Linked DNA regions of Lonchura striata. The protein of the gene in region 3 binds, or shares a complex with, the protein of the main gene of each other region. Links are inferred from orthologs where the notes say so. Each region holds a gene or a part of one and is shown on either strand. Other genes may lie near its edges.

Region 1 (7,957 bases), on a different chromosome or scaffold from region 3:
TGTGTCGGGTAGCATCACCCAGCACGGCCGCCCTGGGGTGCAGCCCCCACGTGCTGGGGGGCTCACGGGGGACACCCCCGCAGGCCCAGGGATGGGGAGATGACCCCTGTCACGCTGGGATGTAGATCTTCCTCCTGCCGCCCTCCACCCTGGGGTGCTCAGCCCTGCTCCCCCGGCTCCCCCTCCCCACCGCGCCGGTATTTACCCACCGCCCGCTGCGCCGGGAACAGGCGCAGAAGCTGCGGTGAAATATTTATAGGCCCCTGAATGTGGCTGAGCCCCCCCCCCCCCCCCCCCACCGAGGTCCCCCGGGCCCTGCCGGGCTGAGCTCAGCGCCGCCCCCCCGTTAACCTGGACATCCCGGCCCGCTCGCACCGGGGGGAGCCTGGGCACCCCCTCCGCCCCCCCCCGGGCAATTCGGATTCCCAGCACAGCCCCCCCCAACATGGCCTCCCCAGCACGGCCCCCCCAGCATCGTCACCGCGCCCCGAGCATCCCTCACCCCCCCAGCATCCCCGGGATGGCTCCGCAGCGTTCCGGTGCGACCCCCCCCAGTCCAACACCGCCATCATCCCCAACGAGTCCCCCAGGACAGCATCTGCAGCCCCCCACTCATGCACGACCCCCCCCCCCCCATGCAGCCCCCCCGGCCTGGAGCATCGGCCCCCGCGGGGCCCCCGGCCGGGGGTACCGGGATTCTCTTCCCGCCCGGTCCCGGTCCCGGCGGTACCTGCGGCGGGGGGGGACAGGGACGGGAGCGGTGGCGGCGGCGAGGAACAAAGGGCTGGGGGGCGGCAGAGCATCCCCCGCAGCAGGCATGAGCCCCGCACCGGGCACGGTGCACCCCCGAGGCACAACCCCCTCGTGCGCCATCACCAACCCGGGGGGCGCAGCTCCCCCCAAAACCGACCGCGGCCCCCCGCGCACGGCGCCCCCGATCGCGCGGCCGGTACCGGAGCCGGTACCGGAGCCGGTACCTCGTTGAGCAGGAAGGTAGCGCTGGAGTCAGAAAACGACATAGACGGGGCGAGCCGAGCCGAACCGCCCGCGCCCCCCCCCCCCCCGCCCCGCTCCACCGGCACCGGCTCCGGTTCCGGCTGCGGCTCGGGCTCCGGCTGGCCCTGCCCGCTCCGCCGCCGCCGCCCCTCCCCGCCCCTCCCCGCCCCCGCCTCCCACCGCCCCCCGGGGGCGCACGGAGCCGCCCCCGCCGCTCAGCCCGGGGGGGGAGTGGGTGGGTGTGTGTTGGGGGTCGCCGTTCCCCCTTCCCGGTGCTGGCGGGGGGTTCCGGCCCCTCTCCGGTGGGGACCGCTGCGGGGGGGGCTGCGCTGGCAGCCGGGAGACCCGAGCGGCCGCGGTGAGCTGCACCCGGCCGGGTCACCGGTGCAGCTCCCGGTGGCCCGGGGCGGGGGGAGAGTTTGCTAAGAGAGCTCTGGGTGAGAGGGGAGTCCCGGGGCAGCGGCGGAGGGGCTGTGCAGCCTCCCGCAGCGCGCCGCTCGGGGTTCCGGGGCGGCGGCGGCGGGGTGCCGGTGGGTACCTCCATGCTCCGGTGCAGCGGCTCCGGTCCTGCCCCGAGCCGGCAGCAGCCCCGTCTGCAGGGCGAACCCTGCGGCGGGGCCGGAGCCGCTCCCGCCCCCCCGCCGCGCCCCCCCCCCCCCCCGCCCCCGAGGAGGGGGGCAGCGACGGGCCCCGGGGGACCGGGCCGGCCCGCCCCGTTACCGCGCAGCGGGACGGGCCCCGGCGGGACCGGCCCGGGACAGCTCACGGCCGGCCCCGGAACAACGGGGCAGCGCTGGGTGGGGGCTTCGGACAGCGGCGGGACAGGCCGCGGACACCTGCACCGGGCACCAGGCGTGGAGAACGGGCCCCGGTACCGGGCACATGGCGGGGCCCGGCCGGGCCCTCTCCGAGGTGCTGAAGGGGCCGCGCCGGGTGCTGAGCCGGGTCGCGGGGTCCCCGGGAGTACCGGGGAGTAGCGGTACAGCAGGTGCTACCCCACGATGGGAACGGGATGCTCCGGCCGCTCTGCGCCTCCTGGGGCCGCCCCGACAGGACCCCCCCGCCCTCCGCGGAGCCTCCCCGGTAACCGCTCACCCGCCGGCGGCCGGGGAGGGGGCGCAGCTCGGGGCCGGAGGAAACCGAAGCACCGGTTGGGGGGCGGCGGGGAGGTTCGTGCCTCTCCCCGGCAGAGCGAGGAGGCGGCCCAGTGCCGGTGGAGGGAGCGGGAGGGGAGCCCCGCGGCCCCTTCTACGGCCCCGCCTGGCCCGTTCCCCTTCCGCTGCCTCAGTTTCCCGGGGCCGCCCCCCGCGCCGCAGTGCCGGTGCCCGCCGCCGGCCCGGCCCTGACGCAGCACTCGCTATTTTTAGCCGTGGGGAGCGGCTGTTGCGATGCTACCGGCGCCCGGTGCCGGCGCCCAGCCCCGGTCCCGGGGGAGCGGCGGGGCGGAGGCGGCCCCCGAGCTCCCTCCAGTGCGGAGGTTGGGGTGGGAGACGCTCGGCCGCTCCCCGCTCCCCACCCCAGCTCCGTGCTTTGATGCGGAGCCGCAGCAGCGGCGGACCCGGGACTGGCGGAGCTGCCCCGCCCCAGTGCCGGTGCCGGTCTCGGTGCCGGTGTAGGTGCCGGTGTCGACCCGCTCACCTGCCTGCGGAGGATGCTGGAGGTGGTGTCGGACGAGGTGCTGCCGTCCGAGCGCTTGAAGCGGCTCTTGCGCTTCGGGAGCCTCCGGGGGCTCTGCGGCGAGAGCAGGCGGTGAGCACCGGGCGGCCCCGGGCGGCTCGGCCCCGCCGCGGAGCTGCTACCGGCGGCCACCGGCTCTGCGGACAGAACCGAACCGGGCCGCGCGGGGCCCGCGACGGCCGGGAGGGCTCCGCTCTGCTCACCTGGAAGGAGCCGGAAGCATCAGGCTGCGCCGGGGCGGACATCCCCGGCGGCACCCACCGGAGCCCCGGGGATCCCGGCGGGGCAGCCCCACACCGGACCGCGGCGCTCCGCGGGGAAGGGCCGCGCCGCCGCCACTGCCGCGCTCCGCATCACACGGGGCCGCCGGGGCGTCCCGGCCGTCCCCGCCCCCGCCTGCCCGCCCCCGCGCCCATCCCCGCGGCGGCCGGTCCGCGCCCCCGCAGCTGGGCAGCCACCGGGAGGCACCGGCAACGGACCCTGCCCACAACCCGCAGCGCTGCGGCGGCCGGCCGCGCGGTCCCGGGGAAGAGGAGCCCCCCGGGGCCGCCGCAGCCCTGCCCACGCGTGTGCGGGGATGCGGGAGCCAGAGCCCCTCCGCCCGCATCCCACCGGGACGGCTCCCGCAGGCGCCATGCCCCTTCCACGGCTCTTTTTGCCACCCCCACGCCAGGGCATCATCCCCCCCCCCCCCGCGCGGGGTTACGCCCCCAAAGTCTCCCGCGTGGGGCAGGCGGGGCCGTGGGGGGCCGCAGCCCACCCACCCCACTCCCCGTGTCCCCGCCATGCCCACGGTATCGGCCGGTTCCGGTGCTTCAACATCGCCGGACCCGAGGGGCAGAAGGGGACAACGGGCCGGGCATGGAGCCGGAGCCCCACGGAGCCCCAGCGTGGGCCTCCCCCGTCCCCCGCGCGGCGAGACTTCCGCGTGGGGCCGCAGGGACACGGCCCCGCCGGCGGCTCCTAATTAATGATTAATCAGCGCTCCCCGGGGCCCGGCGCCGGGGCGGGGGGGGTGCGCGGCCCGGCGGCGCCGCTGCGGGGGAGGGAAGGGGGGCACGGGGGGGTTCTGCCACGGGGGGACGGCAGGGCCGGTGCCACGGTCACTCGTGGGGGTGCGGGGAGCGTAGTGAGGGGGTGCCCTGCGCCGAGCTGGGCACGAGGGCACGCGGAAATGTGGAGGCATCCTCAAGGGGGGTGTGCGTGTGTGCAAACAAGGGGGGCTGTGAGTGTGTAAGGGGTGTGTCAGGGTGAGGGTGCGCGCAAAGGGGGCTGTGAGTGTGTGACGGGTGTATAACGAGGGGTGTGCAAGGACTGTGTGTATGAAGATGGGGGTGGTGTGTGTGTAAGGGCTGTGTATGTGTAAAGGTGAGCGTGCAAGGGGTGAGTGTACGTGTGTGTGTGCAAGGCAGCGTGTATGAAGTGTGTGGAGTGTGGGCAAGGTGGGTGCGTGCCCCTGTGAACGTCTGTGTGTGTGCCAGGCTGCGTGTGCAAGGGCTGTGTGTGCAAGCTGCATGTGTGCACCCGCACCTGTGTGCACGTCTGCCGTGCCTAAGGCGTGCACAGGTGTGTGGACACGGGGATTCGTGTGTTTGCACACAAATATAGACGGGTTTATGTGTCAGTGTATAACAGGTCTGCCTGAGTGTGCAAGGGTGCGTGTGTGTGTGCAAGGGCGTGTAAATCTGCGAGGAGGCTGTGTATGTGCAATATCTATGTGTGGCACGGAAAACGCGTGTGCAAAGGTTTGTGTGTGCGTGTGCAAGGGGATGTGCGTGAGCGTGCAGGGGTGTGCGCAAGGTGGTGGGTGCACGCCACGGGTGTGCAGGGGGCTTCGTGTGCGTGTGAACACACACGTGTGGGTGCAACACGCGTGTGCTAGGGCGTGCAGTGTGTGCCTGTGCAACGGGGGTACCGGGATGTGCGCGGGGCGGGTGTGCAAGGGGAAGGCACTGGGGTGCGTGTGCAAGTGACACGCTCGGGGGTGTTGTGCGGACACGGGGGGCCCCGCCGCGCGTGTCCCCGCCATGTCGGTGCGTGTGTCCGTGCGCGTGTGCGCAGCCCCCGGGGTGCGAGTCCGCCCCCGCCGCTCCGGGCCGTACCGGGCCGTTCCCGCCGCCGCCGCTGCGCCTTTAAGGCCGCCGGCCGGGAGCGCCCGGGAGCGGATCCGGGCGGGGGGGGGGAGGGGGGGCGGGCACCGGCCGGGGCGGGCCGGGGCTGCGCGGCCGCGACCGGGACCGGGGCCGCCACCGCCACCGGGGGCCCGGCCTGGGCGCGAGATGGGGCGGCGGGAACGCGGCGCGGCCGCCGTGTAGGAGCGGGCGGCGGCGGGGCCGTGGCGGGGCGCGGGGCCCCGCGGCCGGCGGCGCCGGAGGCGGAGGTGAGCGGGGCCGCCCGGGCGAACCGGGAGCGGCGGGAGGTGTGTGGGGGGGGTGGATCGGGGCGGCGGCGGCGGCGTCGGGGACCGGGACCGGGACCGCGATCGGGACTGGGACTGGAACTGGGATCAAGGCGGTGGGGCGACACCGGGCTGGGCCCCCGGGCGGCGGCAGCGGTGCGGCCCCGGGGGGCTGCGCGGTGCTCGGCGGGGTCCGGTGCGGCGGCCGGAGGGAGCTGCCGGTGCTTGGGAGGGTCCGTCGCGGCGGCCGGAGGGCGCTGGTGGGTCCCGGTGTACGGGCCGTGCTCGGCGGGGCTCCCGTGCCCGGAGCGGGGAGGGAGGCGGCCGCCGCCACCAGGGCCGGCCCTTCCCGGTGGCCGTTCTTCACTGCCGCTCGCCCGGAGCAGAGAGCGGCTGCCACGTCCCGGCTCGTTCCCGGTGCCCCGGGGCGGCCGTGCCCGGTAAAACCCGTTGGCCGCTGTTCAAGACAAACAGGGCCGGGACGCCCGGGTCGGTCCCAGCTTTGTCGCAGGTCGCTGCACCGGGAAGGGCGGGCTCGGGGCGGCCTCCACAGGGCCACGCACCGGGCACCGGGACAACGGGAACCCGACACCGGGAACCCAGCGCTGTGCACGGGGATTCTGGCACCGGGCACCCAGAACCGGGACACTGGGGCACAGGGAACCCAGCACTGGCCATTCCCACAGCCGCCATGGGGGCAGTGGGAGAGCCGGGACTTGGGCTCTGCATCCCCCAGGGTAGCGGTGGGGACATCAGGACCCTCCGGTCTTTGCACGGCCTCGCACCCCCGCGGACACCGGGGCTCCCGTCGGGGTGTCAGGATGGGGGACCAAGCGCTGACTCCTCCTCGGTGCCCGCAGCATGTCGTGGTTCAGCGGCATCCTGGTGCCCAAGGTGGACGAGCGGAAGACGGCATGGGGGGAGCGCAACGGCAAGAAGGGCCCCCGGCCCCGAGCCGGCCTCTGCGGGCCCCGCTACATGAGCTGCCTGCAGGACCCTGAGATGGAGCGGGGTGCGGGACCCCCCCGGGGGCTGCGCTGCACTTGGCAGGAGGATCACTACGGCAAGAAGGGGCCCGCGGGCGACCTGGGACTCAAATCGGTGGACACGGGCTTGGAAGACGGCGAAGCCAAGGGGCCGAAGGGAGCCAGGGGACACGGGGGGCGGCCATCGGCCGGAGAGTGCTGGCGGCGGCTGCTCCAGGTTTTCCGTTCCAAACGCTTCCAGTCGGCCAAACTGGAGCGGCTTTACCAGCGCTACTTCTTCCAGATGAACCAGAGCAGCCTGACGGTGCTGATGGGAGTGCTGGTGCTGGTTTGTGGGGTGATGCTGCTCTTCCTCTGCCTGCCCGGTGCCCCCCACGTGCCGGCAGCCGCCGCGCTGGCCGGTGCCACAGCCCTGTTCCTGCTCCTCATGGTGCTGTGCAGTCGCAGCGCCTTCCCCCAGGACTATATGTGGGTGGTGAGCTATGTGGTGCTGGGGCTGCTGGCCGGGGTGCAGGCGCTGGGGACGGTGGCCGTGGCGCCCCGAAGCGCGGCCGAGGGCGTTTGGTGGAGCGTCTTTTTCATCTACATCACCTACACGCTGCTGCCCGTGCGGATGAGGGCGGCCGTGCTGGCCGGGGTCCTGCTCTCCGCCCTGCACCTCGCCATCGCCTGGCACCGCAACGCTGCCGACCCCTTCCTCTGGAAGCAGGTAGGGACACGCCTGGGAGGGTCCCACCCACCTGCAGGTGGGACCTCATGTCCCTGAATCCTGCTCTGCAAACTTGGGTTTTTTTTTTTTTCACTCGGATGTTTCTGCTGGTGGAAAGTTCTAGATGCAGGAGGGACCCCCGGGGAGAGATCCCATGCTGGGGTCCCGTGGTGGGACAGGGTGGGCCCCTCATGCCGGCACAGACCCACCATTGTGGGCTGCACCGGGAGGAAGGGGCACCCACAAAGCCCCCGTTGTAGGGCTGGCGGAAACCCCCGAGGAGGGAAGCAAGTCCAGGGCACCAGGGCAGGGGAGTGGCTGTCACCCAGGGGGGCTGGGACACTGCCAGTGTCCCCTGTCCTGCCCCTTTGAGGTGGTGGGTGCTTCTAGCAGAATGCTGCTTGCACAGGGGGGTGCAGAGGGGTCCCCTATCCCTAGGGCCACATGTTCCCAGCCCCAGCAGCTCCCCCTCCTTGAGTGAGCAGAGCCACTCGTCAGCCTTCACCCTCGCCCTGCCTGGCCAGGGCCAGGGCCACGTGCAGTCCCCGCGGGGCACAGGGCGAGGAACACAACGACATCGGAGGCCAGCAGGGTCACGGGAAGGGCCGCTCCCCCGGGGGAGGGTTCACCCCTTCAGGGCAGGAGCGATGGGGCTCTGGGGGGATGCAGTGGGGCCAGGGAGGGGATGCGAGGCCTCTGTTCCCAGTGTCCCAGTGTGCTTGAGCACTATAAATAGCCCTGGCCCCGGTCCCGGGGGATGGGGTTGGGGGAAACCGCAGCTCCCTCCGCAGTCATCTCTGCTTTCTGACTTCCTCTGCTTCCCGAGGGCGTCCCCATGACCCCCGTGCTCCAGGACCCCATGTACCCCTGGCTCCTGTGTCCTCAGATCCCCCCGCTCTGGTTTTCTACACCCCACATCCCTACGTTCCCCCTGCCCTGGGTCTCCAGGTCCTCCACATTCACCCTATGCATGTCCCCTGTGTCCCCAAGTGCCCTCTGCTACCTTACCCTTTGTCCCCAAGCCTCTGTGATCCCCCTACCCTGTGTCCCCTTTGCCCCCCCACCCTGTGTCCCCTTGTCCCCTTTACCCCCCATTCTGTGTCCCCAGGTCCCTGCATCCCCTGTTCCCTGGTTTCTCACAGCCCCAAGTCCCCCATGTCCTTGCAGCCCCGTTGCCCTGTTTTCCCATGT
Region 2 (7,094 bases), on a different chromosome or scaffold from region 3:
ACCATGAAAGGCATTAATGTGTTATGGTATATTATAAACAAATCATAGTAGTACCTGGGTTAATTAAAATTATTAAAATTAATATTCTACTAATTCAGATTCCTGAAAATAGGGGTTCTTTAAATAAGGAACTAAAGAGAAGACTGTGGTTGATTTAAAAAAAATACACCAAAAAACTGATCACCAAACACTGGTACATTTGAAGAGTTTGCTTCTTTTCTTTCAGAAAACCTAATGCTGATTTCATTACAAAAGGGCCACACCTAAAACCACCAGTTTGTACTGACATATATCTAGACATTGTGAATAAGTCCACAGTGTAACTGGTCAGCATGCAGATTTGTCTGGATAAAACTGGACATCTGAAACTCTACTGCAAATCCATCTAAGACCAAGATACAACTGGGACTAAGATCACACTGAACTAGAACTAGAACTATGTTTTTACAATCATATGGACCTAAAAGCCATAGAATTTTAGTTAATACAAGAAAAAAACACCAATATTTCGTCCCAGTTGCAAAGAACTTCCCTGGAAAAATACAGTATAACTGTCATGACCAACACCCAGAGAGATTTTCTTTTGTTTGCAGATCTTGTTAGGAAAATGCATTATGAAAATAAGAAATAGACTTTCCACAGATGTTATCTAGGAATATTTCACATATTTAACTGCCTTTTAAGTGAACTACTTCTAGAGTGTTAACTACATTTCATGCCTCTGCCCCATGGTGACAAGTTTGGCCAAAATGGACGGACAGGCACAATCCAAAATACTGACCATGATGTTAAGATAGATTAAAAGAAATATCAGCTTTGCAAAAGTAAAATTTTGGATAAGAGAGTTGTTGTGACTTGGTACAACTCTACAAAGGCTGTCAATAATATTTTCTTAAATCATAATTCCCAGAAGAAGCACTTCAGAGTGAACACTTTTAGGAGTGACATCACTCCATAAGTTCACATGCTGGTTTGGGTTTTTTTCCCCTGACAGATTATTTGGCAGAAATGTTTCTAGGATTGATATTCAACTACCTTAGAGAAAAAGACAGTGGTACACATATCTGAAGTACCTGTAGGCAATCTACTTGATGATTCACATGTCCTCATTAAGCCTCTCCTTCTCACTGTGAGTGTGTTCTAAAGCAGCAAGATTTTACAATATTGGGGTTTTTTAAATGTTCATGGAACAAAAATTCAAATCAAAATAATTGCCTCTAAATGCAGCACTTGCCAAGAAATTAACTTGCAGTATTATTCAGACAAAAGGCCCTTTTGTTTCCATAACTTTATTTCCTCTCTACCAAGGGTTTATGTATGACTAAAACAAGTACATAGTGAGAAGATGATTCCTGATCTGCCTGATGACTTTGATTCCAAAACCTGAAAAACATCCCTGAACTAAAAAGGTGCATTATCACTGTCTCAAAAAGTGAATCTTTTTGGCTGTGAGTGTTCAGAAACCTGTTTTATAAAACAGAATATAAATGCATTACCTGAAACATAAATAACGTGGGTGTTAGCAAACTATTCTTCCTCTCTAAAGAGAGGTTTTTCAACCCTAGCTTAAAGGAGGTTGAGAAATCAATTTTATGATTGGTATTTGACATTTGTCCACAGCAGAGAGATACCGTATGATTTGAAAGTTGCTGAATCTGTGCTTAGGGCTATACAGACATAAAAAGGGGGGATTTGTAGGTCAAAAATTAGCTCCATTGCCACTGTTTCTGGAGAAGCTGGCAAAGCATATGGCCCTCCTGAAATGTCTGTTCTGTGCTTGGAGGCTACTGACATCCAAAGAGACACTTTCTCTTTTTTAGTTTAACCTCCTCTCTGCCTTAGTGCCTGGATTTTGTTCTGCTGTCACCAGGCCTGAGTATGTAAAGATCAATCACCACGACTGTTGACAGACTGATGGCATTTTTCTCTGTCAATCAAGAACTACTGGGATGGAGCTGGTCCACCTTCTCAAACAAAGCATCAGAGACAGCTTTGGCAGCAACAGTAAAAACCGCACCCCAAAAAGGAAAAAACCTCTGTCCTAAGAAGATAATGCATAATTGAAATCTGAAATTGACACAATCAGATTTTACCACCCTTTTATGGGTTCAAAAACAGCACTCTGAAGTCTTTGTAACCAACTATTGCAAACTTGAAGATACTAAGCAACATTCATACATTAAACAGAAACAACCTTTCAAAATATGAAGTCTTGTCTAAGTAAGCCTTACCCTACCTCCTTCTCATCACCCATCCACCCGAACACTGCAAATGAACTGAGTTGTTAAAATTTCTGAGACGACTGCACAACCACCTTCTGCATGAAAATCGAGCAGCTTAAATCTGCAGCATGTTCAACACCTTCAGCCTCCCCAAAATTCCTGCTGAACAACTGGCGTGAATCGCCTTCTCTCACCTACAGACTGTCACCAGCCCGTGCAGCAGACGAGGGAGGTTCAGCCGTGCGTGGTAAGCATCAGGTACAAATACAACAGGTTACTGGAGCAGGGAAAAATAGCCGTACCCTGCAGTACACGTGCGGAAGATCAGCTTAAAAGCAATGTATTCTTACATACTCATCCTCCAAATAATCGCAAGGTTCTTTTGATTTACGATGCTTCTATGGCACAGAGCATCCTATGTGTGCTAATTAAACGGCTTTTGAGAGTGGGGGCGAAGACAGGGGTTTCGGGCGCCTTAGGGGAGCCGTCAAACTTTTCTGCCGGCGGTGCCCGAAGTTGAAGGACGGGCCGCTCCGGGCCCTGCCCGCGCCCCCGCCCGCGCCGCCGCAGCCCGGCCGAGCCCCGCCGTACCTGCGCTGCCGCCGCCGCGGGCAGGGGGTTGTCCAGCAGCTCCATCTGCACCTCCTGCGCCGGGCTGGGAGGCGATTTGGACATGTCGCTCTGGACCATTGGCGAGGAGAGCGGGTGGCTGGGCGCCGAGCCTCTCGGCGGGACAGAGCCGTGCTGAGCCGAGCCGAGCCGAGGCGAGGCGAGGCGAGCCGGGGCGGCGGGCGCCGCTCAGCGCCCGGCCATGCCGAGGAGCGGCGGGCGGCCCGGCCCTGCCCTGCCCTGCCCGGCTCCGCTCCGCTCCGCTCCGCTCCGCTCCGCCCTGCCCTGCCCGCTGCCGGCGGGGAGCGCTCGGCGCCGCGGACGGGGCAGCGCCGGCGGCGGCGCGGGGGAGGGCAGGGGGCGGTGCGTGGGGAAGAGGGAAAGTGACAGCGAGCATCTCCCTCCGGCGGCGCCGGGCGGGGCGGCGCCGCATCCGCGCGGCCCAGCCCGAGCGCGGCCGAGCGGCGAGCAGCGAAGTTGGGGCTGTGGCCGGCGGGCCGGGGGGCATCAGGCCCTGCTTTTCCCTTCAGCCCTGCCCGGCGTCTCAGCCTGGCCGCGCGGCATCGCCTGCCTCAGCGCGCATCGGCTTAGACCTGTGCTGTTAGCGAGCGAACCGGCGCTTCGACAAAGTTCCATAGGTCTCTTGTGTTGACAGGGCTTTTTGGAGGTTCCTATGCACATATCAACAAGAGATGAGTACGATGAAATCCGCTGTCGAATTTTATATAACCTGTGAGTGTACGATCTCAATCGTGCTATCAGGTACCCCACAGGAGGCGCTTGAAACACCTGTTTGAAACCTGATCCGGCAAAATCACCCTCCACCGCTGAGATGATCTTTCATTTCTTGTGAATGAGAGATCATTTTGGTCCTTATAGAGACCAAACTCTCTGACCTTATGAAGTCCACAATGGACTGATACCTTTCTTCCACTGGATGGGACCTAGCTGTGCCCCATGCAGCATGAAAGGGAAACTTGTGTTTTCAGACTCACTATGTGATGGTTTGTGAAATATCCTATCAGCTGATTGTAAACAGTGAAAACTAAGTCTAGAAACTGACTGGCCTGGTCACACAATTAAAATCACAACCATTACTAAAAGTAATAAAAGTCACTTTCAGGAAAAGAAGCCAGCAAACCAAAGCCAGCACAAAAGCCAGATCAATTTCAAAAAGTACTTTCAAGCTTTAGCCAGATTGCATGGTTGATTTATTTCATTTTTCATAATAGCTAATAAGCTTCCTTTCTGAATTAGTTTACCCCTATGGATTTTCTTATATGAATAGTGAAAATCTTACAGGAACTGCCCATTTTTTTTGTGAAGAATTAGCTTTGTCTGCAAGAGGAAGTGCTCTGACGTTTGAAGAACTTTCACTTGTCCATAAAGTTCCATATTTATTTTTGAAGACAATATTTCAAAATTATTTTCTAGAATTTTAGCGTGTTGTCCATGAAAAAACACAACCTTAATTTAAAGTGAAAATTGTGGGGTTTATTGCTTAACTTTCTTTCAAGTAACGCAATAGACATGTTCAACAATCTTGAAACTATAAAGATGCTGGAGTCTGGACTGCTTCCAGATGTTCTTCAGGTGGTTATAACCAAAAAGATATTTTATTTTTAGATATTTGGTGTGAAAAATTCATACTTCACCATCTAGTAGAGGCTTTGAAGTAGTTATTTCTTTGACACTTACAAATTAGATTGTTTAAATTTAATTACTTTTTGTAATTTACTAATTTTGTAATTTTACTCATTATAAAGGAATTTACTGAAAAGCCTAAACACAGTATTCGTGTTAATGATTGCTAGGTGGTGTATTGTTATTGGAAGATGTTGTCTTTGAATTTCTAGCACCTTTATGGCTTTGGAACAATTTATCCTTCTGTATCAAGACACTCTAGGAAAGGTACTTGACGATCCACCATGATTCAGTACATTTACTTGGTAGATTTTCAGGCATCTGTCAGGGATTGCCTGCTCTTTCTCACACAGAGAAGGTAGTGGAAGTCACTTAATCATGTAACAGTGGCCCTTCATGTTGCCTTCTGGATTTTCACTTTGTAAAGAGTGTATAAACAGGAGCATTTTTTAAGTATACCACCCTTCTGTAAGAGTAGTAGTGATTATTTTTTAAATATTACAGTTTCTAAAACCATAAATTGTGAATCTGGATTGAAAGAGTATTTCTACTCTCCTATAAATTAAAGCTTGAATATGTCAGTTGAAGTTCATTTTTTGTATGCTCAATCATGTCTTTTATGATTAGTTTGTCTTTTTTTTCCTTTCCATTATAAAAAAATAATGGTAATGATTTTGCTTGTTTATGTACATACATAGAGGTTCTGTAGAAAGAAAAGACTCAGGAAAGAAGTTTCACCTCACACACACACAAATAACATCTGAATTTTTAGTAAGTTTATTTGGTTTTTCTTTCTGAGGAAAAATATTCTACATAACTGTTCTTTAGCAGCAATTATTCATTGTCTTGATGTAATGAGTGGCTAGAAGATTAGCATAGAAAAATAACTGTATTTTATTCTGTTTCACCCCTTCTGTTTAGCAGTTAATCCAAGTTCTCTAACCTTGAAATGTGCAGTGAAAGTCCTTCAGCTGAACACATATGCATACAGTCATCCTTCTGCATGCTGTTTTTGGCCACCTCTGCTCCAGGAGAAGGGTCAATGTGTAAAAACAATGTGCAGAGATTCTAAATTGCTTGCTTTTTCTCAAGAGAAAAAGCAACCTGGTATGCCTAACCCCTTCTCAGCAGAAAACCACCCTGCTGCATTTATTTACACTTTTATCTGCAACGAAGAGGTGTTGTGCATGCTTATTTGGATTTTTATAAACATGTAAATGTTAGAAAACCAGAAGAAAACACAGGCTGTTTTGTTCATAGGCCCTTTTTCTTTCTTTAAAAAAACAATCCCAAAAGCTTAGGCTGACAAACAACCTGATTTGGGTGCCAAAAATAGCTGGATTTTTTTTTTTGCATGAGAGTTTAGATGTTCTTGTAAAGCAAGGAGGACTGTATTACTGTGCATATTTAATTGTTCTTTACCATCAGTATAAGAATGTGGTGTCAGCACCATGTTCTAACCTTTGTACCCATGTATGGCAGGTACATGTTTGGTTTAGCCTATAACTATCACCTAAATGTACAAAAAATAGGCCAAGGAAGTTTGGCTGATATTTGTGCAAATGCAGCTAAAAGCTAGTAACTTAGACCCAAGGGATTTCTTTAAAAACTTGCACAAATACAAACCAGTGAGCTTACAATAAATTATTTTTATGAAACTATATAAAATGCTTTTAACTGAGCATATATTTAAAGCCCTGATATAGAGAATTTCTCTAGGTCTTTCAGTTAAAAAGAAATGCTGGCTGTCTATTAGTCTGTGCCACCTCCTGCCTAAAATGAATTGTAGCCAGAAATTCAATATTGTAAAAAAAGAATTCACTTGATTACACAGTTTTAATATCTCAAAACAGATACGGTTAATCTTTTTCGGTGATAAACTGGAAGCTGCCTGTCGCAAGTGCAAGTTAAAGGGATTCCTCTTATTTTAGTACTTTATCTTTCACACAAGTCTGAACAAAGCCACTCCAGACGGGCTCACTTTTGAATCCGTTATCAGTCTGTATCAGAGCACATCACCTGGCTGGATTTAATGAACTGATCCATTCTCCCAGCTCGTGTTTATTATGTTGTATTCTTGGATATAAGTGCCATGCACCTAAGACAGCCTTGACTGATACTATTACAATGTGTTCAGGAGAAGACAGGATTGGAAGGAGGAGGGTTTCCATATGACGGAAGATAGGAGCAGTATATAAACACTGGTAAAAATGCTCTTAAAACACAGAAAGGCTCACAATACTTGAAAAAGCCACAACACCTACTAAGCACATATTTTCAGCCCTTTGCAAAACGTGACCAAAAAAGGCACGCTCCCTCTCACAAGCTGTTCACTTTGTGAGAGGCAAATTTTCTGTCGATGGGTTGTACACAAAGTTCATGTTTGATTAAGCACTTCTGCAGAAGTTGCTGGTTTCAGTTGATTTTTTTTTTGCTTTTTTCTTTGCTCTCCTGTCATAACTGAGACTGCATGTGTCCTTTTGTATCCCAAGTCCTTACCAACTATGGTGTTCCTATTTATAGCATCATTTTTCTCTTATTAAATACTTGAATCACAAGAGCACAAAAAGGCTTTATAGCATTCTCACCCACAAATATGTTCAGCCCATGTGAGTTACT
Region 3 (7,297 bases):
AGGCAGAAAGGCAGTGGGACAGACTGAACCAAAAAACCAGCCATGTGGGTAACTGGGTACAGCGTGTCTGCCTCCTGCCACAGAGCCCCAGCATCCTCCTCATCTCCTTGTCTTGCAGTCTAACTGCTTCCTGCCCAGCATGCTCCCACCACACAGCATCCAAGGGTCCCCACATCTGCCTTGCAGCAGGAATTAGACCTTGTGTCTTGCAGCTCTGTGTTTCTCCAGGCTCCCGATAGTCCTCACCCATCTGCCTTGAAGTTCTCCTGGCTACAGATTGACCTGAAATACCAGGGTGGTGTCACAAAGCCAGACATGCCCCAACAACTATCAGGTTGTTGGACTGTCTTGTACACAACACCCAGTAAGCTGCAGAACATTCCATTTCCTTGTTCTAATGAACAGATTTCTTGAATTTCTTGAGCAAATTTCAGCACAAAACACCCTCTGCCTCAAGTCAGCATTCCACCCACCCTGGGCTGAGTGGAATGATGGTCCCCACCCTTCAACTGCTTGGAAAAGCCCCTTGCCCACCCTGTGGCTCAGCTTTGTGCTCTGACAGCAGTGCTGGGCCCAGGGAGCAGGAGCACATACTGCCACTGGAACCTACAGGCAGGTACCCCCACACCAGAGGCTCACAGCTAATCTCCCCTTGGCAGCCTGCATGTCCCTGCAGACCATAATAACCCCAGGAACTGGAACGACCCGACCATGTCACATACCCTGATCCCTGAGTGAGGGCAGCCAGGTGCATCTGGGTATAAATACAGCCAGGCACTGCAGAAACCTGATTCCCTGGATCATTTGTCCTGCACAGGTCACAACCACCTGCACATGCCACCGTTCTGTGGGGCACCCACTCGTCCCCCCAGAGCACCGAGGTAGGGAAGACCCTCCCTGTGCTGTGCACTTGCTCTGGCACGTGCTGGCCCAGCAGGAGGAATGTGTTTGAGCATGCTGCAAGATGGAAATCCTATTTCCAGCTCCTCCACTGCCACTCAGGCATTCACACAAGTTCCCCTCCTTTCTCAGTGCCCGTTTAAGACACAGGCACAGTTCCCTTCTGTGCGCCCACAGAACCATCATTTCTCCTGCCAGAGACACACAAAATGAGAACTCCTCAGTTTTGGCCCTGCTCCACTCCCTGGAGGACAGAGAGTCCCCTTGCAGTCAAGGAATGAGGTCTCAAACTCCAGCACCAGCAGGGCTGTGAGCGTGACCTCATGCCTGCCAAGAGGCTCCCTGGGCTTTGGGCAAAGCAGCATCTCTGGGCATGGTTTTGGTATCTCCACAGCAACACAGCCAGTCTAAGGTGACCAAGCCACCTCCCAGAGTAAAGCCTGGCCAGGGATGGGATCATCTTGGCAAAGCCAGGAACATTCAGATAAGGTTCAGCAACAGAAATGAGAAAAGATGTGGTGGAAGAACTCGACTCTGTTCCCCAGTCCATCTTTTTTGCTACAGCCCAAAAGTTTTGCTGAAATCAAAGTGAAAAATTTCATCTCCCATTCTCTTCCTTTACATAAAACACAGGTGAACAAAGTGATAGTTCTGGATGCATGGCAGGAACATGACATCTTGGTACTTCTGAGCGACAATGCCCCAGTGAAAAGGTCAAAAAGCAACACCCAAACTACAATACTAAGCCAAAGGCACAAAGAAAGACTATCCCTCTGAACAACATCACCCACAAAAAGCCTTCACCGGTGACAGCAGTACCGGGGAGGGATGGGAGAGGGAGCTGAGAGGACAATGGTGGCAGCAAGGATTTGGGAGCACAGCTGTGGGATCAGGCAGATTGTGATAACACAAGGAGCCATCCCAAGCAACTCACCAGGGTCTTCCTACCCACACCCAAAACTCCAGAGTATCACATTGTCCCCAGCCTGACCCCATCCCCACCCCTGCATGGGCACTGGGCCCCCTCCTGCCACACCAAACCCCCTCCCCTCTCACCTGTCTGTCCCACATTGCTCCCAGCACACAACACACACAAAACATTCACCTCCCCCAGGCTGTCCCTGTCCAACCCCACCAAAGGCCCCATGGCCTGACCCACTCCTCACCCCATGACCCACTCTTCATGACCCACTCTTCATCTCCATGACCCACTCCTCAGCCCTATGACCCACTCCTCATCTCCATGACCCACCCATCAGCCCATGACCCACTCCTCATCTCCATGACCTACTCCTCATCTCCATGACCCGCTCCTCATCTCCATGACCCGCTCGTCAGCCCCATGACCCACTCCTCATCTCCATGACCCACCCATCAGCCCATGACCCACTCCTCATCTCCATGACCTACTCCTCATCTCCATGACCCACCCCTCAGCCCTATGACCCACCCCTCAGCCCCATGACCCACTCCTCAGCCCCATGACCTACACCTCAGTCCCAGCTTTCCGCAGCAGCCCTGGCAGCACTGCCATTGCCTTTGCCAGTGCATCCTACAGGCTCCCTGAGCTCCTCGCTGCCTCTGACAGGCCTCAGACAGCACAAGCCTGAAACAGGCTGGCAGCTCTGGTGCCCACAGCAGCCCTGCCATGCTCACAGGCACACACAAACACACACACACACACACACACACACTGCTCCCAGCCCTGCAGCCAGAGGATACTTCCACTCCACGATGCTGATGCACGCCTTCCGCAGGGGGTTTTCCAGGGTTAGGCAGAACAGAGCCCTGGGTGGACGAGGAGCTATTGGTGGTACCGGCTTCTTGGACTTCTCCTTCTGTTGCCTCTTCTTCACGTCACCCTGGGGAGAAGAGGGCTCCATGGTGTTGCTCCCCTAGCTGTCTCTTCCCCTGCTGCCCTGCAGTGGAGCCCCCCTTCCCCAGGTCCCCGCCGGCTGGAGCTCCTCTGGCCCTCCGTGCAGCAGGGGGGTGCTGGGGGAGTGGGGGCTGGAGCCTGCACTCGCATGTACAAACACACAAAGCATGAGTTTAAATTTAGATCCCGGCCTGGCTCTGGGTGCTGTCCCAGCTCCTGAGGCAGCAGAAGGGCCCCTGCAGCTGTTCCCTCTGTACCCAGCACATGGGGACTTGGGCGAGTGCTTGGCGTGCCACTGGCTGGGCTGGGGGTGGGACAGGCTGCCTGGGCTGGGCTCTGCTCCGACACAGCAGCGCCTGTGCCCCAGGTCAGATCTGTCCCCAGGTCCCCACCTGCACCGGGAAGCAGCCGGGCTGCCCGGGGCAATGTGCATTTGCTGAATCACATCGTGCAGGGGGAGATGGAGAAGCCAGCTCTGGCCACTTCCCAAGGAAGTTTCCCCCCCCTCACCCCATCAGCCCCTTGCAGTGGTGTGTCTCTTCTTTAATTTGATATTTGTTCAATATCTGTTCCCCCCCATCCCTAATCTCCTCCTCTCCCCAGTTGTTCCCTAACCCTCTCCTCTCCAAGCTGTCAATCCTCCCTTTCCCTACCCCTTTTCCTGGAACCTTCCCTGTCATTCCTCCTAGCTCCCTTCCCTGCTTCCAGAGCATTCCCTGTCTATTTAGTGAGGCTCAACACCCTATTACTTACTTTGTGTTATTCCACTCCCCTGCTTCCCCTGATAGGTTTGTGATATGTTAGTCCTGCCCTAAACTCCTGCCCTGCTATTCCCTTATTGGTTACTGTTCCTACACCCGTCCTCCTGAGTTCTTGTATAAAACCTTTGCCCCCCCCTCTCAAGGGGGTCTTGGGGCTCACTGAGTAAAACCATCCTGTTCACCCCCAAGTCCCGTGTCGCCTCCGTCTGTCCCCGCACCACCGACTGGGACAGCGGAGTTTCACAGGGGGAGCGGCCGCCCGTTCTCTTCCCTCGCCGCCCAGCACGCCACGCTCGGGGAACTGCGGCGAGAGGAGCTTACAGCGATGCAACAGCCCCTCCTGTGCAGGATCTCCCCTGCAGCTGGTGCACACCTCTGCCGGCACCACGGCATACTGGGGCTGTAGGGCCAGCGAGGCTGGTCCGTTCCACTGGCTGGACAGCCCAATCTCAGAGCTCCAGGGAATCATGGTGAGTCCAAAACCTGCTCAGGCTTGCTTTTCTGGAGGCACAGAGGAAACCCTTGGCTGGCACTGGTCATTTGAACAACCACCTGCTCAGCCCTACAGAGGTAAGTCCTGCATGCAGGGTGTGGAGGATGTCTGGGATGCAGGAACCCAACCAGCCTAGTGCTGCCTTGTGAAGGCTGACCTGGAACAGAGACTAGACAGAGCTAAAGAATAAAGTAGGGATTTATTAAGAGGTCTCAAATACATTCACCTTGGGCAGCACAACCCAAAATGGTCCCAAAATGGGTGACTGGTCATGGGGTCTCACACTTTTATATGTTTTGCTCCACTTGCATATTAGAGTTAATTGTCCAGTTAAAGCCCCAGCCCATGCAGTCCCATCCTTCTTGTTTTTCTCTCTTCAGCCCACATGGTTTATGCTCTTGGACCTGAGATCTGGATCAGCTGTCCTTGGGTCCCCAGCTAGAGAAGGAATTGTTTTGTCTCCCCACTCTGTGAAAAGAGCTCACCATCCACTAATATGAAGCCCAGACCCACACACTAAAGCAGAATAGAATCTGAAAAAGATAAAAGCCAAAACCTGAAGCATCACTAGGCTGGATTGTGTCCTGCCAAGCTCTGCTGGGCTTGGGAAAGCCTGACTGGATGAATGGTATGGAAATTCCTGAGCTGAGCTAAGGAGAGAGGCAGGTTATCAGCACCTTCCTCAGCAGGGGACTGAGGCACCAGATGTGTTTTCATGGGGGTTTTCCTGGGGCTTTCCTGGCATCCCTGTTGTACAGCTGTTACAGCTGTTACAGACTGCCCAGCTGTGCCCTGCTCCACCTCGGGCATCCCAGGGTGCTGCTCCACCCACAGCACTGCGCTGCCTTGCTCGCAGCTTCCTCTCCCTGGCTTTGTGGAGTCATTCTACCAGGGACAGAAATGCTTGCCAGGTGTGCAGCCAGCTGTGCTGGGGGCCAGAAAGGAGTGACGGGGGAGCCCAGGGCAGGGAGAGCAACTCCTGCAGCTGCTCCAGCCAGTTTTGATGTACTTTGGAGGAGGATGCCCTCAGTTGTGAAGGGGTTCATAGAATCATGGAATGGCTTAGGTTGGAAGGGACCTTACAGACGATCTCATCCCAAACCCCCCGCCGTGGCCGAGGGCAGCTTCCAGTAGGGTTAAATCAGCAATCTGCCCCCTTCTACACCACTCTGCTCTGCAAATCAGAGTCAAATCATTTCTGCTGCGGGGTCCGTTTCCTTGTGAGGCAGATCCCTCTTCTCACTCAGCCATCATATCCCCCTAAACCCTAAGCACAAGCCAGGAGCCCTATTCCCGCTGGTGCCGGTGCAGAAGAGCCTGTGCAGGGTCTGCAAGGCCGCGGGGCCCAGATAGCGGGGGTGCCCAGGACGAACATCTGCCCGGGACACCGGGAACCCGAGGAGGAGGAGGCCGGGGCTGGGCAGGGCATCCCCGCAGCCCCTCCGGGCCCGCACAGCCCTGAGCCGCCCTGAGCCCCGCCGGGAGCTGTCGGCACATGTCGGATTAATCCCTTTTCTGACCCAGAGATGGGGCAGCTGAGAGGCATTTTAGAAACTTTTATCCCATTTTCAGTCTCACGTGAAGGGTGAGACAATGCAGGTGTTATAATTCATGCCGTCACAATCAAAAGCCAACTATTTCCTAATTACAATATAATTATCAGCTATAATGGCCTATCAGATTTGCCACATTATACTGCAAATGCCTTAAAGCAAATCATCTAAAATTACCCCTCCTGGGTCCTACTACAATGCATCTTTCATAGTTCTATTTCTCCAAAGTATCTAGTCTTTTTTGCAAGGAAAACCTTTGAAACTTGTTTCTATTTCCATTTGTCTCTCAACAACGTCTGTCTTACTCCATGGCATTTCTAAGTCAGCATTTCTCATCTCAGGGTTTGCATACAGCTGCACAGTATGTGAGCCTTCTCTCAGGTTTTCTAATTTCTGATTGGCACGGGGCACCAAACCCGACCCGGCACGGCTCCGGCGCACCCGGGACAGCGCTGTGCCGACGGGGCCGCTCCCTGCCCGCCCGGCAGCGAGCGGCTCCTTCCTCCTGGTGGAGCCTCCTCACAGCCACTCCTCTTCCTCGCACCCTCCTGGGCCTGCCTGTCCCTCTCCCGCTCCATCAGCGCACGGCCTTGCGAAGGTCCCACAGAGAAGGGCTGTGATGGGGGCCTGACTCCCGCAGGTGCATCTCCTGCCGCCGTGCCGTGCCGAGCCGAACCGAGCCGAGCCGAGCTGAGCCATGCTGAACCGAGCCGAGCTGAGCCATGCTGAACCGAGCCGAGCTGAGCCATGCCGAGCTGAGCTGAACTGAGCCGAGCTGAGCCGTGCTGAACCGAGAGCCGAGCTGAACCGAGCCGAGCTGAGCTGTGCCGAACCGAGCCGAGCTGAGCCGTGCCGAGCCGAGCTGAACCGAGCCGAGCTGAGCCGTGCCGAACCGAGCTGAACCGAGCCGAGCTGAGCCATGCCGAGCTGAGCTGAACTGAGCCGAGCTGAGCCGTGCTGAACCGAGCCGAGCTGAACCGAGCCGAGCTGAGCCGTGCCGAACCGAGCTGAACCGAGCCGAGCCAAGCTGAGCCATGCCGAGCCGAGCTGAACCGAGCCGAGCTGAGCCATGCCGAGCCGAGCTGAACCGAGCCGAGCTGAGCCGTGCCGAACCGAGCTGAACCGAGCCGAGTTGAGCTGTGCCGAGCCGAGCCGAGCTGAGCCGTGCCAAGCCAAGCCGTGCCGAGCTGAGCCGTGCCAAGCCAAGCTGAGCCAAGCCGTGCCGAGCCGAGCTGAACCGAGCCAAGCTGAGCCGAGCCGTGCTGAGCCACGCCAAGCTGAGCCATGCTCAGCCGAGCTGAACCGAGCCGAGCTGAACCGAGCCGAGCTGTGCCGAGCCGAGCCGAGCAGTGCCGAGCCGAGCAGTGCCGAGCCGTGCCGAACTGAGCCGTGCCATGCCGAGCCGAGCCGAGCAGTGCCGAGCCGAACCGAGCCGTGCCATGCCGAGCCGAGCCGAGCCAAACGCTGCCGTAGCCGCTCTCCAGCCCTTCTGCCGCTCGTCCGCCGCCCCTGCCCGGCCCCGCAGCTCCGCCCGCCCTCGGTGCCGGAGCTGCTGCGGGCCCGGGCGGTTCCGTCCCCGCCCGGGACTCGCTCCCGGGAGCGGAGCAGCAGCTCGGGCCGCCTTTGGCTGCGAGGTGCGGGCGGCAGCGAGCGCCGGGGCTGGCGGTGCCCGCGGCCGGAGAGGCGCGGGGAGAGCCGCGGGCAGGCAGGGGCG
Region 4 (7,636 bases), on a different chromosome or scaffold from region 3:
TGGAAAGACCATGAGATGTTCAGGCCACACAGAGTTTTGGGTGGCAGCTGTCCCCTGTAAGCATTGGAGTGCCAGGCTGGGAAGGGGCTGGAGCCCACCTTGCTCTGGAGCCCCAGATGGACAGAGCACGGGGAGTTTGTGGCAGGGTGGATGGTTGGAAAATCCTGGGGTTTCGTGTGGGGTTTCCACTTGTGATGAGTTTGGGAGACAGGACCTTGGAGGACGTGTTAAGGTGAGGGCTGAGCCCTGGAGGGGGCCAGGCCTTGGGCTCTGACCTGGCTAATGAAGCCTTTGACACACACACGGGGAGTTTTGGAGATTATCTCTCCAAGCAGTTTCATTTCACACCTGTCTTGCAGGGTGAGTCTCGTGTAACAGGGGACAGAGCCCTGCTGGCAGCCCATTTGTTCAAGCACTTCTCTCCGGTTGCCTGTGCTCAGGTTCCTGTATTTACAAGGACCTGTTTGAGCTGTTGAACACCCCTGGTGCTGCCCAGGAACCACTTTTCAGCACCAGCACCAGAGTTACAGGCAGTGACACTGAGCTCCGTTTACAGCTGGCAGTAAAATGCCCTAGTGCCCACTGACCACAGTTAAAAATGTCTCAGTGTTAATCTGAATTTGTCTGGTTTTAACAACCATCTCCCTGATCTTTTTATTTGTTACAGCAGGATGCTGAACCCTTTTCAATTTGTCAACACCCTCGGATGGGTGCTGTAAAATTTTAAACCTCTGCCTAAATCACAGCCCTGCTTTGTGGACTGCGAGCCAAATCATCCTCCCCACTCTGCACTGCGCTGAGCTCAAAACCTCATAAATAACGTTAATCATGCCATCCATTTCCTCCACAGGGAGTGACTGGTAAATGGTTATTAATTCAGTGATAAATTCTGATGCCTCTTTCCCAGTCCTGGCAGTAATATCTGGTTATATCTCATGATTTTCAGGAAAAGCAGCGCCTGCATCTGCTCTTTTACTGCGCGTTTGTTCATTCACATTTTCTTGGCTGCTGCAGGTTTCACAACCCTGGTGTTTCCCTGCCGACATCCCTTCCCAGAAGTGTGAAATCAATGGAGCAGGAGCCGTGCGGCCGCAGCCTCAGCCCCGGGGCTCTTCTCCCCTCCCTTTGCTCTCATCCTTCCCCGGCTAAAGCAGGGATGAAGGTATTTACGTTATAATTGAGGTGCGAATTTCACCCTCTGCAACGTGGTTACGATGCAGGCTGTCATCCGGATTCGCAAATATCTTTAAAAATGGGACGAGCCAGCTCTGGCGTGGGGCACAGCCCAGCCCCTCCGCAATTCCCAGTCGCTCTGTGCCTGGCGGAATGCGGCGCTGGGATGCGATTCAGCGTCTGTGCGAGCACATGCTGATGTCTGTCAAAGATAGCGGCTGCTTCCCTGCGCCCTGCCTGCGAATCTGCTTTGTGCAGACAGCTGGATATTTATGAGTTTTATATTTACCCCACGGTCGTGCAGTTTTGCTGTTTACCCACCAGTTTCTATTGTTTTTCCTTTTGTGGGAGTTCTCGGTGCGTGGGGGAAGGCGTGCAGCGAGGAATGCGTCTCTAGGCACGTAAGTACCTTGCTGAGAGACATTAAGCATATGGATGACACACTCCCAAGTTTGGTTAGAGGCAGACCCACATGCTGAGGCTCAGCTCCTCTCTTCACAACATGTAATTTGGCCAAAGAGATAAAGAATTGCAGTAATACGGGCAATATACAGTCAGACCAAGCAGGAAGATTTTTCACAGGAAATTTTCAAATATGTGTTAACATATATTTCATTTCAAGCAGCGAGTCTAACACGAAAGCAATCCTGTTATTTCTGTTCTGGAAGGCATCCAGTACCCTATAAGCCTTCTAAAAAAGCAGCGTGGCTCAGTCACAGAGGGAGTGTATTAGTGCAAACGGCGTGGATGTTGCTGACTTGGCAATCAGCAAAAACATAATGAGCTCCTTTAACCATGAGAATGGAGCAGCCTTCCCGGAAAGCTGCCGTGCCCACTGCCCTCCCCATCGATTGAACTGGAGGGGAAGACGTGTGTGGGAGCTTGTGCCTCTGGTGAGAGGTAAGGAGGTTCCCTAAGTCCTTGAGAAATTGATTCAATCTCCATTTATGACTCTTTTGTTTCTGGAAGTTGACAAACCATCCTGCAGGTCCCTCTCCCTCCCTGCCCTGAGGAATGGCTGTTACTGGAGCAGCTCAGAGTTAACCCAGTGCCCACCGTGGGTGGGCTTTTCCTCTGGGATTACATGGATCTGGAAATCCACCAGCTGTGTTTGGTGGACCCGTAAATCCTCTCTCTTGCCTGCTGCTGTCAGCGTGCCTGTAGGACCCTTGGCTGGGGTTCAGCAAGATTCCCTCCATCCCAATCTGCCGTTGTGATTCCCACTGTGCCCAATCCTCCTCCCCTTCTCCCCACCACTGTCGCTGCTGCACGGGAGACTCAAACATGGTCACAGACAGACCAAGGCAAGGCAGCAAAGCAGCCCCAGCAGGAGCTGGCAGCGAGGTGTGTTTGCACACCAACACGAAAACAGCCCCGTGCACCCCATCCCAAACTTTCCTTTCTGCCGTGAGGGACGTGGAGCCTATTTCCCTTTGCCACGTCCTCCAACCTCCTGAGCAAAGCCTGCTGTGAGTCTGCTGCATGCTCACGTACCTCCTGGCAGGCTGATGGGCCCACAGCTCTTCTCTTTGGGACCTTGCTCCTGCATGAAAAGGCGCTTGGTGCAGAGTCTCCAGAGGCCGAAATGCGCCGCCTCGCAGGTGGTGGTGTTCTCCTCCACGCTGGGGCTGAGCACGGCCCAGTGGTCGGTCACTACGGCCGCGAAGAGCAGCGAGATGCCCACCAGGATCACGGAGAAGGTCAGCCGCACCTTCAGGGGTTTGCTCTCGTCCATCTCGCTGCGGGCCGGCGCTCCCAGCGGAGCACGGCGCGGGGTTCGCCAGGGCTCCCGAAATCCTGGCGCATCTGAGAGCCTGGAAATGTCATCCCCGGGCTGCAGGCAGCTGCTGGGCTGTGTCAGGAGCTCCCGGGGCACGGCTCAGCTTTCGGCCCCGGCCCACCCGGGCGCTCGCCGGAGCGCAGGGGCTGAGGGCTCTCCACTTGCAGCATGCCCAGAAATAGGCATTAATAGGATGATTAACTTTTCAGCGAGGTTATAAAAACATCTGTGTTTATAATAGTGCTGGGCCTGAGTGCAGACTGATCCTAAACAGCATAATAGCCCTGGAGCTCTGTCACCCCACGCCTGCGGCTCACAGGAGCTCAGAGGTGGACCTGCCTCCAGAGCCCAGAACTGTGGCAGAGAGTGATAAAATAAGCCAACTAGTCTATGTCTATTTTATTATTTATTTGTATTATAGTTATTTTTATTCTAAGCTTTTATAATAATTCTTAATTAACATGAACTATTATGAGCTGTTGGGGGCTTTTTGTGGGTTCCAAGTTTTTTTTTTGTTGTAGTTGTTTTAGTTTTTTTGTGTCTTTTTTTTTCTTTTTGTAATGCAATACCTCTTAAATACTTGTTTGCTTTCCTATCAACCAGGTTCCCCTCAATACCTGCAGTAGCTCCAGCAGCCACCCAACACATCCATTCCTTTCTCCAGAAGTGATTTCTCTCTTAAGCACAGGTTGCTGGAGCTGGGCCAGCCTCTCTCCTTCCCTTTGATATTTCAGCTGATTGTAAAGCCAATTTGATGGTAATGTCAATGCAGAGGCCACTGTGGAGGTGACATTACAATTGTGATGTCAAACTGAGGAGGGTGACAGTACCTGAATGTTAAAAGAATGGTTAAAAAAATGCCAGTGGAAAGCTGCAAATATCATTGTGTCAAGATAATGTCAGAGCTACTCCAGTCCTGCTTTATTAACACCCCAGTTTGATGTCAAAATAAAGGTGCAGAGGTGTCAGCTCAGGTTGATGAGGACAATGTGGAGCAAGGAATTAAAGTGTAGGCAGAGCATGGGAAAGGGAGAGAAAATAGTGTAAGTTTAAAAATATTGGTCCAAAATAAATAACTGAAGTATGACTTGGGTTAACATTACTCTGCTTGATGTGTGACAGGGATGGCTTAGACACCCCTGTGGGGCTGAGGGACATGTGGGCACCTAGGATGGCATCTGGAGCCCCATTCTTGCTGGGACGTGGGGACCAGTGAAGGTACCTGGTGCAAAATTGGAGGGGAAGGGGACCAGGGAGGGCAGTGGGGACATGGAGCAAGACAGGGACCAGGGACCACAGCCCCATGCTGGGGCTGGCAGAGATATTAGAGGCTTCCATTTAAACCAGAACCAAGAGTGAAAGCAGAAAGACCTAAAGGGAGCAGACTTTAAGCCAGAAAAGAAACACATGAAAGATGTAATGCCTTTTCCTTTGAAGTAGACTCTTGTTAAATTTCGCTAGACATCAGTTGATCTCAGAAGCTGCATCTCAACTTCAATTCCTTGATGCTACAAACTCCACAGGTGGAGCAGAGGGAAGTGAATGTGTGTTTGCAAATGTGGGCACACAGTGAGGCTCTGGTTGCTGGGACATCAAGTGCTAATGATCCTGCTTTAGACTAATTACAACCTACAAGGACTGCAGGGGTGGGAACTCATTAATTTTTTTCACTGGCGTTGGTCTTTGTGCCTCTTCCAGTGTTGGCAAGAATCACACTTTTTGTTCTCATTTAGTCCTTCATTCTTGAGAAGTTCTATGGGCTTGGTTTGGCTTTGAGTTTCCTAATTTCCAGGGAACAACTGAAGTGAAATCAGAAGTGAATAATTGGTCCTTCCCTACTGCTGAGTGGAGCTGGGAGTGTGAACAGGTTTCAGTGAGCCCCAGCATGGGCAGCAGTGGCTTCCCAAACTCACATTGCTGCAGCTGAGATTAAACACTCTCTCCAGCCTCCAAAAATTACCTAGAACTGCCAGCCCATGGGAAAAAAAATGGGTTTTGTGGGTTATTTGTGGGCATTTGGGAAATGCAAAAACAAAACAGATTTCTGGAGGAGCACAGGACTAAAGCAGACCCTGGAAATTTTCTGCACATCCAGAAGATCATGATGCCTAATCCTCTGGGAATGGTTCCTGCAGCCTCCCTAAGTCAGCTGGTAAATATTCACATTTAAAAATCGGTATCACATGAAAAATAAACAGACTATTAATGAGGACCTGTTGGAAAGCAAAGAGGGCTGCAATTAGTTGCACTTTAGCAGCAGTGAGTGAGGGACACAATTCTGTTTCTCTTCTGGAGAAAATGCCAGAGGAGGCGTCTGAAGCCCAACTACTGTGTTGGTTTTGTTCCCTGGCAGAGGTGGTGACTTGGCTCTGCTCCCCAGCACTTGCACTCTTCTGTATTTCTTTCAGACCAGCCTCAGCATTCAGCACGAGCAGATTAACCTCACTCTGTGGTTCCCTGCTTGCAGAACAATGCTCTGCAGAAAACCCATCCCAGTCAGAATAACCCAGAGAGGGGCAGGCAGCACCTGCTCTGCTCTCAGCTCAGATGGGAGCTCAGCAAAGAGCTTTCTTCAAACAGGGTCTCCTCAGTGCTATTTGGGCTCCCCAGCCTGCATTGCCCCAGTGTGGTGAGACCAATGGGATCGGGGTGGGTTCTGCACAGCCAACACCTGGGAATGGCTCCAATGGTACCCTTGAAAGCTCCCCGATTCCGGGGCGGCAGTCATGGAACACAAGAGCTGAATGTGGGAGTTTTGGCTGGCTGTTGTATTTTGCAGTAGACTCCCAGCCTGCTGTGTGTAGCTGGCCATCCCTGCTGCCCCTATGAGTGACCCAGAGCTCCGAGCTCCCAAAATACCGCGGGCGGTGCCGCTGGGAACGCGACCCTGGCTCTGGAGCGCGGCAGCGCTGGCTGAAAGCCGAGCTGGGCTGCAGACAGATGCACCAACTCTCCTTTCCCTTTTAGACACAGGCACTGCCCGTGTCTGTCGGTTCTCTCATTCCAAGGAAATGCCACATCCTCTTTTTTCCACTTTCTGAAGCCTGTCTCTGCTTCCCCCCTCCTCAAACATCACTTTTCCCAACACCCCTGTTCACAGCGAGGCAGCCACAGCTCCTGGGGTCACCATTTACCCACGGACTTGCTCATAAATGTGGGAAAAACCTTATTTTTATTTCAAAGAGGAGCAGCTTTGGGCCTGAGCTTTAAATGGCTTCACTACGGCGTGTCAGAGGCGTTTGAAAAGATGAATCCTCTGCCGCCCTCCAGACGTGCCAATTCATCGTGAGCCTGGGAGAGGTGGGCAGAGACAGGCAGCCAGTCCTCATCCTTGGAGACAGTCTGGAGGCTGAGGAGCTGGGAGGTGAAGTCGAAAGAAGTATTTGAAGGAGGAATCCTGTCTGTGATTCAGGGATGGCTGGGGCTGTCTGGGGTGGGGAGAGGCTGACCCGCGCTTGGCACCGCTCGTCCCGCGGGACGTGGTGGTGCTGATCAGAGCAGGGCTGCGTGCTGCTGCAGCACCTGGGCCACGCTTCCTTCAGGCAAGATGGGAAAGATCAGGGAGAGGAGGATGCTCCAGGTGAGCTCAAAAGAAAGCTCAAAAGCCTGAGGAAAGCTCAGGCTCAAGGAGGCACTTCAGAATACACTGGGTTGTTTTCCTCAAGGGTGGTTTGCAGTGGCCTCTGGCCACCACACCAGGCTCAAACTGGGCACTGAGAGCACTGTGTACCCATATGGGACAGGTTTAAGCTGGAAACTAGAAGGTTTTTCTTAATATCCAAGCAACTAACCAAAAATATAGCGAAGGTAGATAATCTTGGAGATTTTGTGGTCTTTGGGACCACAAGAATAATTTTATCTCCTCTGAAATACTGGCACCCAGTAACATGGCCAGCTGCAATCAAACAGTGAAAAACGTGAAAAAATAACCTGAAATCTCAGCTCAGAGAATTTGGAAATTAAATATCTATATACCTTTCTCCACACAAAACCAAATACATTTAAAATGGTTTATTTAAAAAGTAAGGATTAAGTACATTATACATGGTTGTGATTATACCAGTAGAACTGAAGCACAGTGGAAATAACACTTTAGAACTGCAGACAGAAATGTAGCCTCAAGGGACATGATATATTAGCCCTTGTGGATATGTGATCCATACAGAGAGAAAAAGAAACAGAAAAATAGTTTATTGTTAGATGTCTGGGCAGCTGAAGTGATTTCTGCTTTTACTCCTATTGTGTATGAGAAATAAGGAAGAGAGAGCTCATGGTATACCTGAAATTTTGTTTCTTGGAAAATCAAATCTGATCCAATAGCATTTTTTTTTTTTTTTTAGTTCTGCTGCTACAGTATGTTATATACCAAAAGACTGATTATTGTTAATGATATGGTTTTATGGTATCTGCAGGCCTTGCTGGGAAATGGGGCTCATTTGTTTGATGCTGTCCAGGAAAACCAGAGAGCTGTGGAAGAACAGACGATGTTTTTAAACTATCACTGAGTGGTTTCAAATCACAATCTAACTCTGTTCAAATACATCAACCATGGAGCAACACTGCTCATGGTCAGGAATGCTGCAAATTTTTCAGTTTTGTCAGAATCAAAGTTTTTAATGGGACAGGACTGGGGTTTTGATTTTTTTTTTTTTGTGGTTTTGTTGTTTTTGTTTTTGTTTGTTT

Evidence for each region.
Region 1: CACNA1S (region 3) and CACNB3 share a complex: the UniProt entries of both Homo sapiens proteins name them as parts of the calcium channel complex. The link is inferred for Lonchura striata from reciprocal best matches to the Homo sapiens genes CACNA1S and CACNB3.
Region 2: CACNA1S (region 3) and CACNB2 share a complex: the UniProt entries of both Homo sapiens proteins name them as parts of the calcium channel complex. The link is inferred for Lonchura striata from reciprocal best matches to the Homo sapiens genes CACNA1S and CACNB2.
Region 4: CACNA1S (region 3) and CACNG1 share a complex: the UniProt entries of both Homo sapiens proteins name them as parts of the calcium channel complex. The link is inferred for Lonchura striata from reciprocal best matches to the Homo sapiens genes CACNA1S and CACNG1.

The regions. Positions count from the first base shown.
Region 1 is NC_134629.1:6,104,321-6,112,277, forward strand, and holds the start of CACNB3 (voltage-dependent L-type calcium channel subunit beta-3), read right to left. Parts: upstream 3,006-7,957; 5' UTR 2,919-3,005; coding exon 2,877-2,918; intron 2,728-2,876; coding exon 2,635-2,727; intron 1,586-2,634; exon of another isoform or gene 1,541-1,585; coding exon of another isoform or gene 1,535-1,540; intron 1,058-1,534; exon of another isoform or gene 1,020-1,057; coding exon of another isoform or gene 978-1,019; intron 1-977. Other genes in the region: ADCY6 (adenylate cyclase type 6), read left to right, coding at 5,933-6,766. UniProt on the Homo sapiens protein: Regulatory subunit of the voltage-gated calcium channel that gives rise to L-type calcium currents. Increases CACNA1B peak calcium current and shifts the voltage dependencies of channel activation and inactivation.
Region 2 is NC_134603.1:137,020,048-137,027,141, reverse strand, and holds the start of CACNB2 (voltage-dependent L-type calcium channel subunit beta-2), read right to left. Parts: upstream 3,006-7,094; 5' UTR 2,913-3,005; coding exon 2,814-2,912; intron 1-2,813. UniProt on the Homo sapiens protein: Beta subunit of voltage-dependent calcium channels which contributes to the function of the calcium channel by increasing peak calcium current. Plays a role in shifting voltage dependencies of activation and inactivation of the channel.
Region 3 is NC_134632.1:1,007,226-1,014,522, forward strand, and holds the start of CACNA1S (voltage-dependent L-type calcium channel subunit alpha-1S), read right to left. Parts: upstream 3,013-7,297; 5' UTR 2,784-3,012; coding exon 2,623-2,783; intron 1-2,622. UniProt on the Homo sapiens protein: Pore-forming, alpha-1S subunit of the voltage-gated calcium channel that gives rise to L-type calcium currents in skeletal muscle.
Region 4 is NC_134621.1:8,799,506-8,807,141, forward strand, and holds the start of CACNG1 (voltage-dependent calcium channel gamma-1 subunit), read right to left. Parts: upstream 3,011-7,636; 5' UTR 2,909-3,010; coding exon 2,668-2,908; intron 1-2,667. UniProt on the Homo sapiens protein: Regulatory subunit of the voltage-gated calcium channel that gives rise to L-type calcium currents in skeletal muscle. Regulates channel inactivation kinetics.